2 linked regions of the Mytilus edulis genome follow. The protein of the gene in region 1 interacts with the protein of each later gene in a pairwise test. Links are inferred from orthologs where the notes say so. Each region holds a gene or a part of one and is shown in the gene's direction. Other genes may lie near its edges. The genes, in order: ubiquitin-conjugating enzyme E2 W-like and E3 ubiquitin-protein ligase MARCHF5-like.

Region 1 (7,881 bases):
ACACCAATAGTAGGATGGCCATCTACTGCAACACATACCATGGTGGCTACATACTCTAACTTCTTTTCTGTAAATAGCAATATCATTCAGTCAATGAATTTCAGTTTATAACTTTACACATGTTATAGGACAGATGTGCTGCTTCATCAGATTAGTTTCACAAGATAATGCAAGCAGATTTAAAAGTACCACTTAGAGTGTTAGAAATATATATCATCATCAAAATTAAATATATATATTCAAATAACAAAATTATTAAGATTTGATTGGTAAAATTATGTAGTACTTAGTGTTATTGTGTAGTTAACAGAGCAGAGAAATTGTAACTGTCAGGAGAGCCTTGAAGTCATTAAACTTTCAAGTCAGTTTTTTGTACTCTTACTCAAAACTCAAGCAATAAAAATGTTGGATTTCATGTTTCGAGCATGATTTGTGTGCTCCGAGCACTGAGCAAAGTTTTATGACTTCAACCCTTGACCTCGAAAGTTCTGCTATCTGCTATCGAAACTTATTTGATTATACATTGTGATTGCTTGCATTTGCAAAGTACATGTATATATCAAACAATGTATCAAGTCATTGTTCCTTTATAAATATGTATAGACTGTTAATGTACATTTATCTTGCTATTCAGATTTTGAATCCTAAAGAATAAACTATTTCAGATAAACAAATAAAAGCTGTATATTTTAACAAACATAAAACTAAAATTTTCAGGTAAAATAGATTATAATTGTGGATGCACATCAGTATATATGGAAACAATTATAAAAATTCAAATTAGAGTTTGCATATTGAAAATTTGATTGATTGTTAATGGCCTTATGGTGTAACACCACTAATTCAGGCCCGGCCAGAAAGCACATACCAGAAAGTAGTACATATTTAACACAAAATAGTTCCTACGCATGAGTGTAACTTTCAAAATATGTAGAATATTTAGGTATTTTTGGTATCAAATGAAAGCTGAAGGACTGGTGATCATTGTAGAACACTTTTGGACTTTTAATTTTGAATAGTAAAAAAACTGCTCCAAATTTTAAAAAGAGGGTACATTTTGTCTGTTTGTCAGATCTGAAGTACCTGTTTTGGTACATCTGAAGTTCCGGGAACCAGTTCTTTCTTATATGCAATGTAAGGTATGTTGATTTTTTCAGTACAAGACACCATAAAGTGTTGCTTTGAAATGCAATGATTGCCACTTTATTTGAACTTAAAATAAAAGAGGTGTGCCTGCTTGAAACGGAGGAATTTAACATAGAAAGCAATGGGACCATGAATTAGTGGTGTACTTCCTATTACAGAGAATCACCAGAAATCCAATTTTTAGAAGTTGTACCTATTCCAATGAAAATAAGTCAAATATGATGTTAGTAATCATGTCTAATCATCTTTTTTGGGTCAACCGTCCTGCTTATGGGAAATTTAAGCTCTTAAATTGGCATACTCAAATATGTTAGCCTTTTATGGTCATACAACATGCATGCAGTTAAGACTTGACTCCAAGTTCTCATTTTTGCATTTTTTCTGATTCAAATCAATAAAACATGTATTTTATGACTTGTTTATGGAACAAAATAGCTCTTGGTCAAAATAATCACATGATTTTTCAAGTTTTTTTGTTTTTCTTATGGTAGCCTTTTACAATCTAGGCAAATGGTATATACTCATATAAGAATTCTTAAATCTCACTGTACATGCAATTTTGGACCAGTTTAGCAAGTTATCTAGCTGAGGGATATATAAATTGCTCTTATTAATCTATGTTTTACCACAGAATTATAATTCATGCAAAAAAAAAAGCCTTTTTTCAATTTCAAGAAAAAAGGGGGGATAATTTCTCATTTATGTCTTAAGTTTGGACTAATGTATTGTTATTTAATGAAGAACCTCTGATAAAAATATGACTAATAGTAAGCACATAGCTTTCCTAATAGAAATTAATAAATAAAACAATGATATTGAGAATAAAAAAAATATATTGGCCAATGGTAATATACATATGCAGTTTTCTTTGAATAACCCATATGTTACTACCAGTCCAATTTGAGCTTTAAATTAATAAAATAGTATTTGGACTAAGGCTTTATATGTTTTTTATTGCTTGAAATAGATCATAGAATGAAATAAAGTAATGCTCAAGTCAATATAGCAAGTTTGGTTCTGTTATAGGTGTAACACCACTAATTCAGGCCCGGCCAGAAAGCACATACCAGAAAGTAGTACATATTTAACACAAAATAGTTCCTACGCATGAGTGTAACTTTCAAAATATGTAGAATATTTAGGTATTTTTGGTATCAAATGAAAGCTGAAGGACTGGTGATCATTGTAGAACACTTTTGGACTTTTAATTTTGAATAGTAAAAAAACTGCTCCAAATTTTAAAAAGAGGGTACATTTTGTCTGTTTGTCAGATCTGAAGTACCTGTTTTGGTACATCTGAAGTTCCGGGAACCAGTTCTTTCTTATATGCAATGTAAGGTATGTTGATTTTTTCAGTACAAGACACCATAAAGTGTTGCTTTGAAATGCAATGATTGCCACTTTATTTGAACTTAAAATAAAAGAGGTGTGCCTGCTTGAAACGGAGGAATTTAACATAGAAAGCAATGGGACCATGAATTAGTGGTGTACTTCCTTATAAACACTTAATGCAACAACTCACAAAATGGCTATATATTTGTTTATTGTTTAAAAATCAAATTTGTAAACTTTCAAGCGTTTGCTGTATTTACCCAAAAAGAACATAAGTATACTCCTACGTATACTTGCATACATAGGTATATATGTTCTGTCCTGGACTTTAATATAGCACTAAGCATAAAAATAATAATATTGTTGAAAGGTGTTGTTTTCTTATATGTCTCTTATCTTATGTATTTGTATGTAATGTGATAATAGCTCTTTACAGGGCCCTTTAATTGGACAAAATATTGTTATACCTGTGTATTCCTTTGTAGCATCAAGAGGGTCGACCCACACTGTAATCTTTGAGTTTGATATTGATTGGTCACTTGATATTGTTTCTGCAACTTCTGTTAAATGCTTATTTGTGTCTTTTATTTCCAGTAAATTCACAGGTTTTAGATCTTTTTCTTCAGATATAACCTAAAGAGAAATATACCAAGTTTATGAAATAAGGCATTTGACACTTAAGCTAAACATCATGAACACATTTTGGATCAACGATAATCTTATCAATATCAACAATAATGAGTACTACAAGGTTAAAACAATACATGTATATATATAACAGACCAACCTAACAAACCGGGTACATTGTAATAAAGAAAAATATTGCACACCAATATAAAGAGTCTGAGACAGCAAAGGGTTCACCCTCAGAAATCATAGCTCAAACAGTGAGTTCTCATTACAGCATGCTTTGGTGCTGAGAGATATACAAAGGCTGTGAAAAGGCACAGTAAAATTGTAAAATACCTGGGGGACTGAACATGTGACATTATCCAAAAACCTTGCAAATATATCTGATTGCAAAATAGTACCTACATGTATGATTTATAAAGCATTGAACAAAATTCAGTATGAATGTGGTAGAGCAATAAAAGTAGTAAAGAAATATTATACACTAGAAAACTGAAAATAGTAGGCTGACCTACAATGTATATATCATAAAATTTTACTGACATACCATTTTTGGACCGAAAAATTAAAGAACCAAAGATAGATATCTGGGACCTTTCTCAGACTGATATTAAGACAGTGCTTAAAGGGTCTGTCAATAACACTACCATACGTCATTTCTGGAATCATGTTTTTCACTGGAAAAGATCGCCAATTTCGCACCCCTTTATGACGTCATTTACCAGATAGAAGATGTGTCTGTATCCCTGCCCTATTAAAAGTTTCCAGCATTATCGTCATTTTGTAGGGTAGTAAAGAAATCATTTATGTTCCATTAGTACATAATCTTGATTCTTCTTCTTCTTCCTTTATAGTACAGGCCTCCCAGGGGAGTATTATCGTACTGTTTTATGTACATGTTCGATGTGAGAACAACAAATGTGCGGGTAGGTGCGATTCCTGTACAAATGAGGGAGGGTGACCATCTTATTAGATTTTAATTTCCCAAATATTTTGTGTAGTATAAAATCAAACTTTTTCATCCGTTTGCTCAACATGAGTTGGAAGTCAGGATGCATACATTTTTGTCACGTGGCGATGGAAGTCACACGACAGATACATGTAAGTCTAAAAACTGTTTCCCCAAACTGCCTTATTGTAGGTACGAAACAAACCAGAACTAATAGACTAGCATTTAAGAAAACTATCATTAGGTCTTATATAATAACTACCTTTAGACCAGGGAATGCTTTTGCCAATCCATATACAATAGCCCTGTGCGACTGTGTATCTCCTTCAGTCTTCACATCTTTGACACCTTCATCTGTCTTTCCTTTCAGATTTTCCTGAAGTACATTACTAGCTAGTCTTACATCTTTTACTCTTTTGCCCCCTTCTTGTGCAAGCTGTATACACACTGATAACAGTTCTTTCATGCTAACTCTGGGCTCTCTATGGAACCAGTCGGGAAGACCAAACATGTACAAAGCTGCACATACACCAAGAGCTATAAATACAGCTCCACCAACAGGGTTGATTCTTACATTTGCAGGTCCCATTGTAGATCATAGATGTCGAGCTGGAAAAATAAGTAGAAGCTTGATGTAAAGACTTAGTTTCGAATAATATTTTAAACCTATGGAAAGAAATGCACGATCCACAAAATTAAGAAATCTAATTTTTATTTCTAATACTTTATACTTTTTATATATGAAACACGATAAAACAATAAATTTTTAGTTTCTTTTTATTCGAAACTAAAGGTAAACAGACAGACGATCATGGCTTCTATGGAGGTATTCCACTTTTACATTTCAGTCTTTTATTCGATATATGAGACAATATCTGAAAAAGTCTAATTTCCATGTCCCGCACTTCACCAGCAATTATTTTTTTATTCAACCATCTTTTTTGAAAATTTTAAGTTTCAGTATAAACTAAATTATATAATGCACCATGGCCTGCCAATTAAACACTCATTCTTATATTTCTTCCAATAAAATATTGTAATTTAAATGTTCAACCCCCCTAAAATCATGTTGTCCCCTGTGTTTTTTTGAAAACTAAATCATTCAAATAATATCCAAATTAATTAAACAGGCGTCCGATTCTCACATATATGATATATTATATAATAAACTTGCCCCTAATTTGTCTTTTTATATTATAACTATAGCATGTAATAAAATTTTGCAAATTTTAAGAGAAAAAAAATTTGTCCCCAGGGCTGATTTCCCTCCTGTTACCACTGGGTTTTTTTTACCTGTGGAAACATTTACAAGACCAAGAGTTATTTTCCCATTATGTATTGTGCAGAGCATCATTTCCTGAATGCATTAGTACAAAGAAATAGTTGGAAAGGCGGCCAGGTTTGAAAATTCAAGCCCATCCAAGGTAAGAATTTATAGAAAAATACTTATTGGTGTTCTATCCTGTTACAGCCTTTTCTTACACTTACTGAGAATATTTTTAAGTGTGCACCACAGCATTAAGTGTGTTTTTATATCATCTTTTTAAAAGTTATATGTCACAGGAAATACACTTACATTTAATGTGATAAAAAGGACAAAAACTATCGCGTAATTCCTTTCTGTTACGTTCTGTCATGTTACCTGATAAAAAGTAACAGCATAACCATCATCAGTAACAGGAAGGATGTTCAAGACAATTTCACTGACAATCGAAAAGTTAATCTACTATATGCTAACCATTTTATTTAATATAAGTTATCACCACCATATTAAATAAATTTCTAAATAATATACAGTATATTTAATAAAAAAATAGGTTTTTTGCTTTTGATAACAGCAGAGAACATTGTGCAATTCTAGTTTAGTAAATAGTAACAGAAAGGAATTTATTTTAGAATTTTTCCTTACCTAGGCAGATTTTTCATCTTGCAAATACAGTTTCAAAGGATAAATCACATTGTTTGCTGTTATCTTCCAATTGTGACCAATTTAAAATGATGTATTTTTCTTAAACTTTAAAATAAAGCAGAAAAATCCTTTCTGTTAACAACTCTGTCCTGTTACCGTTGTGCTGTTACTCAAGATTCTTTCATGTTACCGACATATCTGACTATATTTAAGTATATTTCTAAACCTTTTGTATTGCAAATGCTAAAATAAATAATTGGCATTTGATAAACTCTTGCAGGATATACTAGTAAACCACAAATATTGTCTTAAACTTATTCATTATTCCCATTAGAAACTTTTTAAAATTGATTCACTTTGGTAACAGGAAAGAACTGGATTTGTTTTGTACCATTTTTGAAATAGCCATTGTTTCCTTATAAAACAATTTTTTGAATTACAGACAACAGTTCCTAGATCCCCAATGTGTGTTCTTCAATTTGTGCTATTAAAATACTGGGTCTAAAAAAATTTTTTTGGTTTTTTCTTATTTCCAAAAATTAGACTTTTTCAGATATTGTCTCATATTAATAATGTGATGTGCATTATGAAACTTGTGGTTTGACTCATATGTTTAAGTATGAAATTACTTCTACAACAAACATGACACAAAGTTTGTTGAAGTCGTGTATAGTAACAAAAAAATTACTTCCGAAAATGCAATATGGAAATGATAAACAGATAAAAAAAATATTCATAGACATTTTTATTTAGTGTCCTTCTTAAATACTAATAACAGTTACATTAGAGACTTTCACTAATATTTGGGATCTCCTGTAGTTGGTGATCGCAATACTGGTATACCAGTATTGTCCATAATACTGGTATAAAAATTTTGTACCAGTATTGTTACTTTTTATTAAAAAAACAGCAATACTGGTACATTACTGATATACCAGTATTGTAGTTGTATTGTTGATTAGACTATATTGAAGATCAAAGGGAGATTAAATGGAACTCAAAAAGATTATAGAGGATAATTGTGAAATCAATTAACAACCAGTTAAAAGTCATTACTATACTGTACTTGCACAAATAAACAAAGGATTATTGAAATTAACTCATATCATCATTATTATTTAAACAATTGCTAATAATTTTATCATATTTCTATATTTTATTTTATTTAATATAGATAAAATAAAATAAAAGCTTATTATTATCTGAGCAATACTTTAATAAATTCAAGCAAATTATTAGACTCTAACACTGTAAATTCAGCATTTACATGTATGCCATCACATATTTTGACAGATATTTTAATACATGTATACATTTTTAGTGTACTAAGATCATATGCATTTGTTTGTCTTTATTTTCTTATTAATCTTTCACAACAAAAGATATCAATATAATTCATTAATTATAAAAAGTTGCTTTATAGGGGAACCTTGTTATAATCCAATTAACTAGTTTGTCTACATAAATGTTAAGGGTTGAAGCAATTGATTCAGAACCATGGACAATACAATTAGTAGCAGATACATGTATATCTACTGGTACAAATACTAGACCAGCATTCTGACAGTTAGAGAGCTATACAAATGCTATCTGAAATAGCTTGTAATCTAGTAAGCGTTAGAGAAAGTCCACAGAGACTGAATACCTAAATACCAATATAGTAAGGGGGAGGGGTTGCATAAATCACATCTGAAGAAGAAATACCAATGCTGATGATACAGAAGCTATAACAGCATTAATGTCAATATAAAATTCACTAAAATATACTACATGAATCTTGGAAAGAGAGAGCTGAAAGAAAACATAGAAGAAAGTACAGAGTTTGTTAAAATGCTGAGACAGAAAGGTTAAGAAAAAAACATCAGAAGATTTAAAACTTTATTTGATGACAATCACAGTGTACCATCTATGGCAT
Region 2 (7,600 bases), on another chromosome or scaffold:
TTATGTAAGGCAAATGAATAAATGCAATAACTAAAACAGTCAAAAACTTTATAAAGAAGTTAAATTATGAATAAAATATACTATAATTGTTCAACAACAGCAGCACTATACCTCCTTATATAATAATAGTAACATTTCCTATAGAGGCATTTTGAAACATTGAAATTTTGGAAGAGTTTTATGATCATTACTACTCCATGTTTGTTGTACTATAAAATGATTCATAATTGTCATTGGCATTTGTTAGCAAGTACTAAACTACCCCACAAAAGTTCACGTAAATTTTGACGTCGTCATAAAAAATATCTGACGTCACAATGGAAAAGTAAACAACCGATACCGGAAACACCGGAAGTAACTTGCACGAGAGGCACTGATATGGGTTTTTTGCACGAGAGGCACTTGATATGGGTTATCAGCCCGGGTGGGAAGATATGGCTTGTGCACTTCCGCCCATTACACATATGCAAAAGCTATCATATTAATGCTAAGTATATGATAAATATAACTATAATAAATCATTTATAATTCCATTATTTAAAAGTGGGGATCATCTTGATCCTTCAAACTACAGAGGAATTTCTCTGATGAGCTGTCTAAGTAAATTATTTAATATGGTTATAAATTGTAGATTACTTACTTTATTTGAAAATAATATATGTCACCATCAACTAGGCTTTAAGAAGAATAGTAGGACTTCAGATGGTGTCTTTATTGTAAAGACTCTGTTTAATAAATATATAAATTATAAAAAGAAAAAGATTTATGGTTGTTTTGTAGACCTAAAAAAGGCATTCGATTCAGTGTGGAGGTTAGGTCTTTTGTACAAAATAACAAAAAATGAGAAAATTGGTGTAAAATTTTACAATTTGATAAAAAATATGTATAAGAATACTGAAGCTTCAGTAAAATTAAAGGAGAATATATCTGAATATGTCTCTATTGATAGAGGAGTGAAACAAGGGGATAATATGAGTCCAAACTTATTTAATGTTTATATAAATGATCTACCAGAAATATTTGATGAAAGTTGTAAACCAGTGACTCTGCAAAATATGTCAATCAGCTGCCTTATGTTTGCAGATGACATTTTGTTATTATCTGAAACTCCTGAAGGTTTACAGAACTCTATAAATAAACTAAATTTTTATTGTAATAAGTGGCAGCTCACAATAAATACACAAAAAACTAAGATAATGGTCTTTCAACAGAAAAACATTTTATATAATAAATATGATTTTTACTTAAATGGTGACAAACTAGAAAAAGTTTTAAAATATAAATATCTTGGAAATATAATTGAAGCATCTGGGAAATTGACTTCATCACACACTGAATTGGCTAAGAAAGGTACTAAAGTTTTGTTTTCTATTTTTAAGTATCTTTCTCCTTTAGAAAATGTGTCTATAAAAGTATACAAAAAATTGTTCGAATCACTAGTTAAACCTATTCTTATGTATAACTCTGAAATTTGGTATATGGATTTTTATGAAAAAATAATAAGAGCTGAAAAACGGGCTCAAATTAAGGACATGAGTAAATTTGATATTTTGTCAATGATTGATAGTAGCCAAGTGGAGAAGACACATTTAAAATTTTGCAAATATATACTTGGGCTTAGTAAACAATCTGTCAATATAGCTGCAAGAGCAGAACTAGCTCAGTATCCCATAGATGTCTTTATTAAAGTACAATCATTGAAGTACTTAGCAAGAATTTCTAGTGATGAAAATAACCCTTTATTATATGATGCATTTTGTTTATCTAAATGGCTTAGCACTAACGGTATATTTTCATGGTTTTCATATGTAGAAAATATAGCCAATGTAAATAAATTAGGCATAAATAAAATTCAGGATATAAACTATAAACAAGAGAAGAGGTCATTCTCAAAAAATATTAGAAAAGAACTTAAAGATAGCTTTGAAAATATTTTCTTTGAAAAATTAAAATTAACTAATGAAACCAGTAAAATATTCTTGTACAGTAAAATAAAAACAAAATATGAAATAGACAAATACATTTCTAAAAATAGTCTTGAAAATAGAAAATTATTATGTAAAATGCGAGTAAGTGACCATTTCTTGGAAATAGAGAGGGGTAGATATAAAAGAATTCAAAGAGAAAATAGAATATGTAAACATTGTAATTTAAATGCGGTTGAAGATGAAACCCACTTTTTCTTAAAATGTAAAATTAATAAATCTTTACGTAATCAGCTTGAAAAAGATATAAATAATATATGTCCAGAATACTTTAATTTGTCTGAAACAGATAAATTACAATTAATTCTATCTTCATTTGATATTATGCAGCTTACTGTTCCGTTCATTAGAAAGTCATTTGCACTGAGGGGAGTGGACACAACGCCTGCATAAATATTACTGTTTTACCACTTTATATATGATGTTTGATATGTTAATTTTTCTATTGTGTATATTGTATTGTATTGTTTGTATATGCCTTCAACCCCCAGGGGTATAAATGTGCATTTCATTAATAAATAAATATATAGATGAAGAAGAACTGTAAAGCTGCATGTGGAAAGTTTTAAGGCAGTTATATCGCGCGACTAGATTCATCAGTGGCACCCACACATTTCCTGGATAAGTTTTACTCAGTATTTTGAGGTTATTTCCAGTATTATACAGATACAGATACAGAGAAAATGCTTTATTCCCATAAAATGGGCTCACAAGGAGCATAATATAATATCATTATAATATTAATTTATCATCTTTTACAAATATAATAAACAATACAGTATACATAGTTACAAACAGTTTTCACATATTACTAGTATATATGTTCCAGACCGTATGAGTATTTGGACCGTACGCGTACGGTCTGGACCGTATGCGTACTTTTTCGAAATACTCATACGGTCGGACCGTACGCGTACGGTCTGACTAATATCAAGGAGTTGGTCAATTGTACTAGATACAAATACATATAACAGATCAACATAACTTAACTCTCAAATAAATAGAAAAAAAATCAATTGTAATTGAAATAAAAACTTTACATTTTAACTATTTAAAAAATTCACGCTAATTAAATCTGTAAATCTCTAGTATTTAGCATGTAGATCAGTCATACATAATACACTAATTGAATTATGACAATTATTCTCACTGAAATTGAATGCGAATAATGTGGGAGGACAATTGCTTTAGAATATTGAGCAACTTTTAAAAAAAAATGCTAATCGAAAGGAACATGCATGAACTGAAAAAATGTAAATATGAAAAATATACTTTTGGTAGCGAGTGTCACCTTTGACGAGAGTTTCAAAATAGGATTCAGATATACAATTAAACAAATATCTAATTTAAATTGTTAGGTAGTTCATTTTATCCATCTTATCCAATAACATGTATGGTCAGCTCATACTGGACCATACGCGTATACTCATACGGTCCGACCGTACGCGTATGGTCGGACCGTACGAGTATACGTATACGGTCTGGACCGTACGCGTACGGTCCAAATACTCATACGGTCTGGAACATATATATAAAACCTTCGTCTCAGGCACACCTCTAGAAAGCCAGTAACAAAAAAGTTAGTAGGCTAAATATATCTAGCTGAACTGCAGGAGGCACCAAGGGACGGTGCTATATTGCATGGTGGGTGCATATTAAAATGTGTATCGGGAAATTAATGATATGGTAAGATATTGTAAGAAGTTGCACATAACTGGTATGATCTGGTATGTCATCCTCGTGCCTGGTGCAGAGGAGTCAATACTATTTAAAGTGACACAACTGCAAGAGGCACCAAGGACAATGCTAATTGACATGCCAAAGTGCACATATTACCAGAGACATATATGTGTATATATGTCTCTGATATTACGAAAAAGATAAAATCTTACCAGTTTAATAAAAGATATCACAAACAGAAAGGTAATAGAACTTATACGATGAACATATATCTATGTACCTTAACCTCACTTTCAGGTCAATATAGAGATATTTTTTTCTGAGAAAAGTTTGCCGCAGAGACATGTGCCTGTGAATACCGGCATAATATTTTTTCACAAAACGCCATTATATTGACATTAATTGCTATTTAAAGGAATGTTTAAGAGTATCTCAGAAAATAACAAGTTTCATTCAAATTGGACTGGTGAGTTTAGACTCGGTTATCAGTGTCCGAAAAACTGGAAAATCCCTCTTTTTAAAATAGGATAACCCCCCATAACTCTGAAACGTAAATTCTTAGATCAGGAAAATCTAAAATTAAACCGATAGTTTTTAAGTGTGTTATATGAAAATAGACTATTGATATAGAGGTTTAGTCTTTAAAATTAAAATAGTTGAACATGTTAAACGACGGTGCTCCTAAAAGCAGAGGAGGAAGACACATAAGAACTGAACCTAGTGTTGCTACGGACTTCCGGTTCATTTTTCTGAAAATATTCTGCGTGCTACTGTCTTTCTTACCTGCATATTGCAGTCAAACACTTAAGAAACCTTAGGAAACGAGAGGAAACACATTTTGGTTTCAGAATTCCATAAATTTGCGTAGAAATAATGTCATAAGCCGATAAGGGGAAGAAAGATTGAACTTCTTCCATCTGCAGTGTCAGAGACTGCACATACGATAATTTGAAGTTTTTTCACTGATGTTGATCATACTTCTGTCGTAAATATCTCTGAATTGTGACTGAAACTTACTGAATTTTGATTTATAAAACCAATCAAACTTATGTTCCTGTGATTAAAAATGCCTTGACTCTGATCTGATTATGTCGTCTGTTGCTAAACTATACCACAGATTGTCTGAGGAAGACAGGTAATGTTCTGAATAAAATGAAACCTTACTCTTTACAGGGTGTCTCATTGAGGGGTTATGATCCAGGATTCCACTTATTATTTTGTCAGATTTCTGAATTGCACCTTGATTTCTAATGCCTGACTTTGTTTCCTTTTTGTATAAATTATGCACAACAATTTGACTAATACTAATTTCAACTACCTGAAAGTGCAATCCAAGCCCCCACAACAGACACCTTCTGGGTCTGTGTGTGGCAGTTCCTGGCGTAACTATTGATACCTGATTTTATACCTGTACAGTTGCTGCACACATCATATAATTTTATTTGTTTTTGTTCCTGTAAATACACAAGGTTTTGTTTATTTTCACTTGGCGTGTACTGGTTGACACATGCGCACAATATATCTGCGTTATGGAAATTTCAACTGCAGATTAACCACATAGAAGTAGAAGAAGTAGAAGTACACATGTAACACTTACATTAAATCAGCCAATCCCCTGTCACACTGAGATCAACATTATATGTAATGTATGGCCTTATACTTCAGACAAGGGGACTGTATTTTAAGGTAACATTATATCAGGGTGTTTCAGTCTCAAAAGAACCACCCCAGTTGATCTAGCTAGATAAATGAATAATGACATTACAAGTTTGTGAAGTTTTAGATTCTAGGTGGGCACATTTGCATTGTGATTCTATTATGAAAATTATGTTAAAAGTTTAAAAGTCGGTCTGAAGACAGAAAAAATATCCGAACACTTTTTTTTTGTTTTTCTCCCAAAATAACCCAAACTGAATAATCATAAGAATGGATGAGAAATGCGACTTTGCATGGTACCTATAGGACACAGAGTCATGATGATTAATATATATGCTGAAGGAAGAGAAGCGACACACAAAATGAGGTCTTCTCGTTTAATAGTATAGATAACTAATCTAAGTTCTTTAACTACAATTATTCTGTGTCTGACCTGTATCAAGCACTTATAATTTTGTCCATTGTTGCCTCAACTGTTCAGGGTTGGACCTTTGCGGTCGTATCTAGCTGCTGTCAGTGAAGCAATCTTTTTAATTTGTATTTTTAACCGGATTTTTGTGACAAAAATGTCGGTTATTGATTTGGGGATGTACGGCGGGCGGCAATCAAATGTTGTCTGTGCATTAACTCATGAACCGTTCAATCAAAGCTTTTAAAATTTTAATATTTTATTACTGACAACTATACGAAGGTCAAGTTAAATAATGGCGATTTTGACTTTAACCGTTCAGGAGTTATGGTTCTTGAAAGATTGAAAAATGGTGTTTCCCGTCGTGTCCATGCATTTTCTCATGAACCATTCAACCAAAGCTTTTGAAATTTTAATATTTTTGTTACTGATGACAAAATAGAGGTCAAGTTCAATAGTGACGATTTTGACTTTTACCGTTCAGGAGTTATGGTTCTTGAAAGATTGAAAAATTGAGTTTCCAGTCGTGTCCGTGCATTTATGCATGAACTGTTCTACCAAAGCTTCCGAAATTTTAATATGCTGTTACTGATGACAAAATGGAGGTCAAGTACAATAATGACGATTTTGACTTTTACCGTTCAGGAGTTATGGTTCTTGAAAGATTGAAAAATGGTGTTTCCCGCCATGTCCGTGCATTTTCTCATGAACCATTCAACCAAAGCTTTTGAAATTATAATATGTTGTTACTGATGACAAAATAGAGGTCAAGTTCAATAATGACGATTTTGACTTTTACCGTTCAGGAGTTATGGTTCTTGAAAGATCGTAAAATGACGTTTCCATTCACGTTGTTGCATTTACTCATGAACCTTTCAATCTAAGCTTTTCAAATTTTAATATGTTGATACTGATGACAAAATGGAGGTCAAATTTGATATTGACGATTTTCACTTTCACCATTCATCAGTAATGGTTCTTGTGATATTGCCAGGACACAAATAAATGTTAATAAATCCGGTTTGCTGTTGTTGTGACAGCCTCTTGTTTAAAGTAAATTATTACATCTGTATTATGTATATAACAGGAGATCATGCTGGGTGTGTTTTGCTACAGATGAAGATGACATGGAGGCAGGTTGGGTCCAGCCATGTATGTGCAAAGGAACAACAAAATGGGTCCACCAATACTGTCTTCAGAGATGGATAGATGAGAAGCAAAAGGGAAACAGTACTGCCAAAGTAGCTTGTCCACAGTGTAATATGGAATATATCATTTTATTCCCTAAAGTTGGTTAGTATAGTAGAATACACTCATTTGCCTGTTTAATGTGAAAAAGATTTGTGGAAATTCAAGTATGTTAAAAAGAGTTACCCTGTTATAAACTTAGTCCTTGTTATCCCCTTTTCTGTCTCTCAGTTCTTCCATCCATCAACAAAGTTTTTAAAAATAAAAGGAAAATTTCCATTGTTTGTTTTGCTGTAAGTTTTTGAAAGTTTGAAGGGTTAGAGTAAAAGGGTGCCTCAAAAAGTGTTCAGCACATGATTTTATCTATTGACAACCAGTTTTGGAGTTATTAACCTCTTTTTTTCCTAATTTGTCTGTTTTCTTAACATTACAGGATCAAGGTTATGCATTTTTTTGGCAAAATGGATCAGTTGAACGATGATAAACTAAAGTATGTTCATCCTAATCTGGCAATTTTTTCAATACAGACACAGATGTGTCCTCTTGATTCGCTAAAGTGCGTTGCCAACACACGCTAAAGTGGGATGGTTCATGAAGTATAGACATGATAAACGTACTATGGATTTTGACGTGAACAGTTGTTTATACAAAAAAAAAAAATGAACATGCCGAAAGCTAAATG

What was found.
Region 2: the proteins of ubiquitin-conjugating enzyme E2 W-like (region 1) and E3 ubiquitin-protein ligase MARCHF5-like interact in binary tests that used the Homo sapiens proteins (3 or more experiments, as listed by UniProt). The link is inferred for Mytilus edulis from reciprocal best matches to the Homo sapiens genes UBE2W and MARCHF5.

What each region holds. Positions count from the first base shown.
Region 1 is NC_092344.1:109,518,611-109,526,491, reverse strand, and holds the start of ubiquitin-conjugating enzyme E2 W-like, read left to right. Parts: upstream 1-4,837; 5' UTR 4,838-4,868; coding exon 4,869-4,883; intron 4,884-7,881. Other genes in the region: putative inositol monophosphatase 3, read right to left, coding at 1-67, 2,946-3,111, 4,320-4,646. UniProt on the Homo sapiens protein: Accepts ubiquitin from the E1 complex and catalyzes its covalent attachment to other proteins.
Region 2 is NC_092347.1:53,783,312-53,790,911, reverse strand, and holds the start of E3 ubiquitin-protein ligase MARCHF5-like, read left to right. Parts: upstream 1-4,356; 5' UTR 4,357-4,753; coding exon 4,754-4,800; intron 4,801-6,817; coding exon 6,818-7,023; intron 7,024-7,600. UniProt on the Homo sapiens protein: Mitochondrial E3 ubiquitin-protein ligase that plays a crucial role in the control of mitochondrial morphology by acting as a positive regulator of mitochondrial fission and as an important regulator of immune response.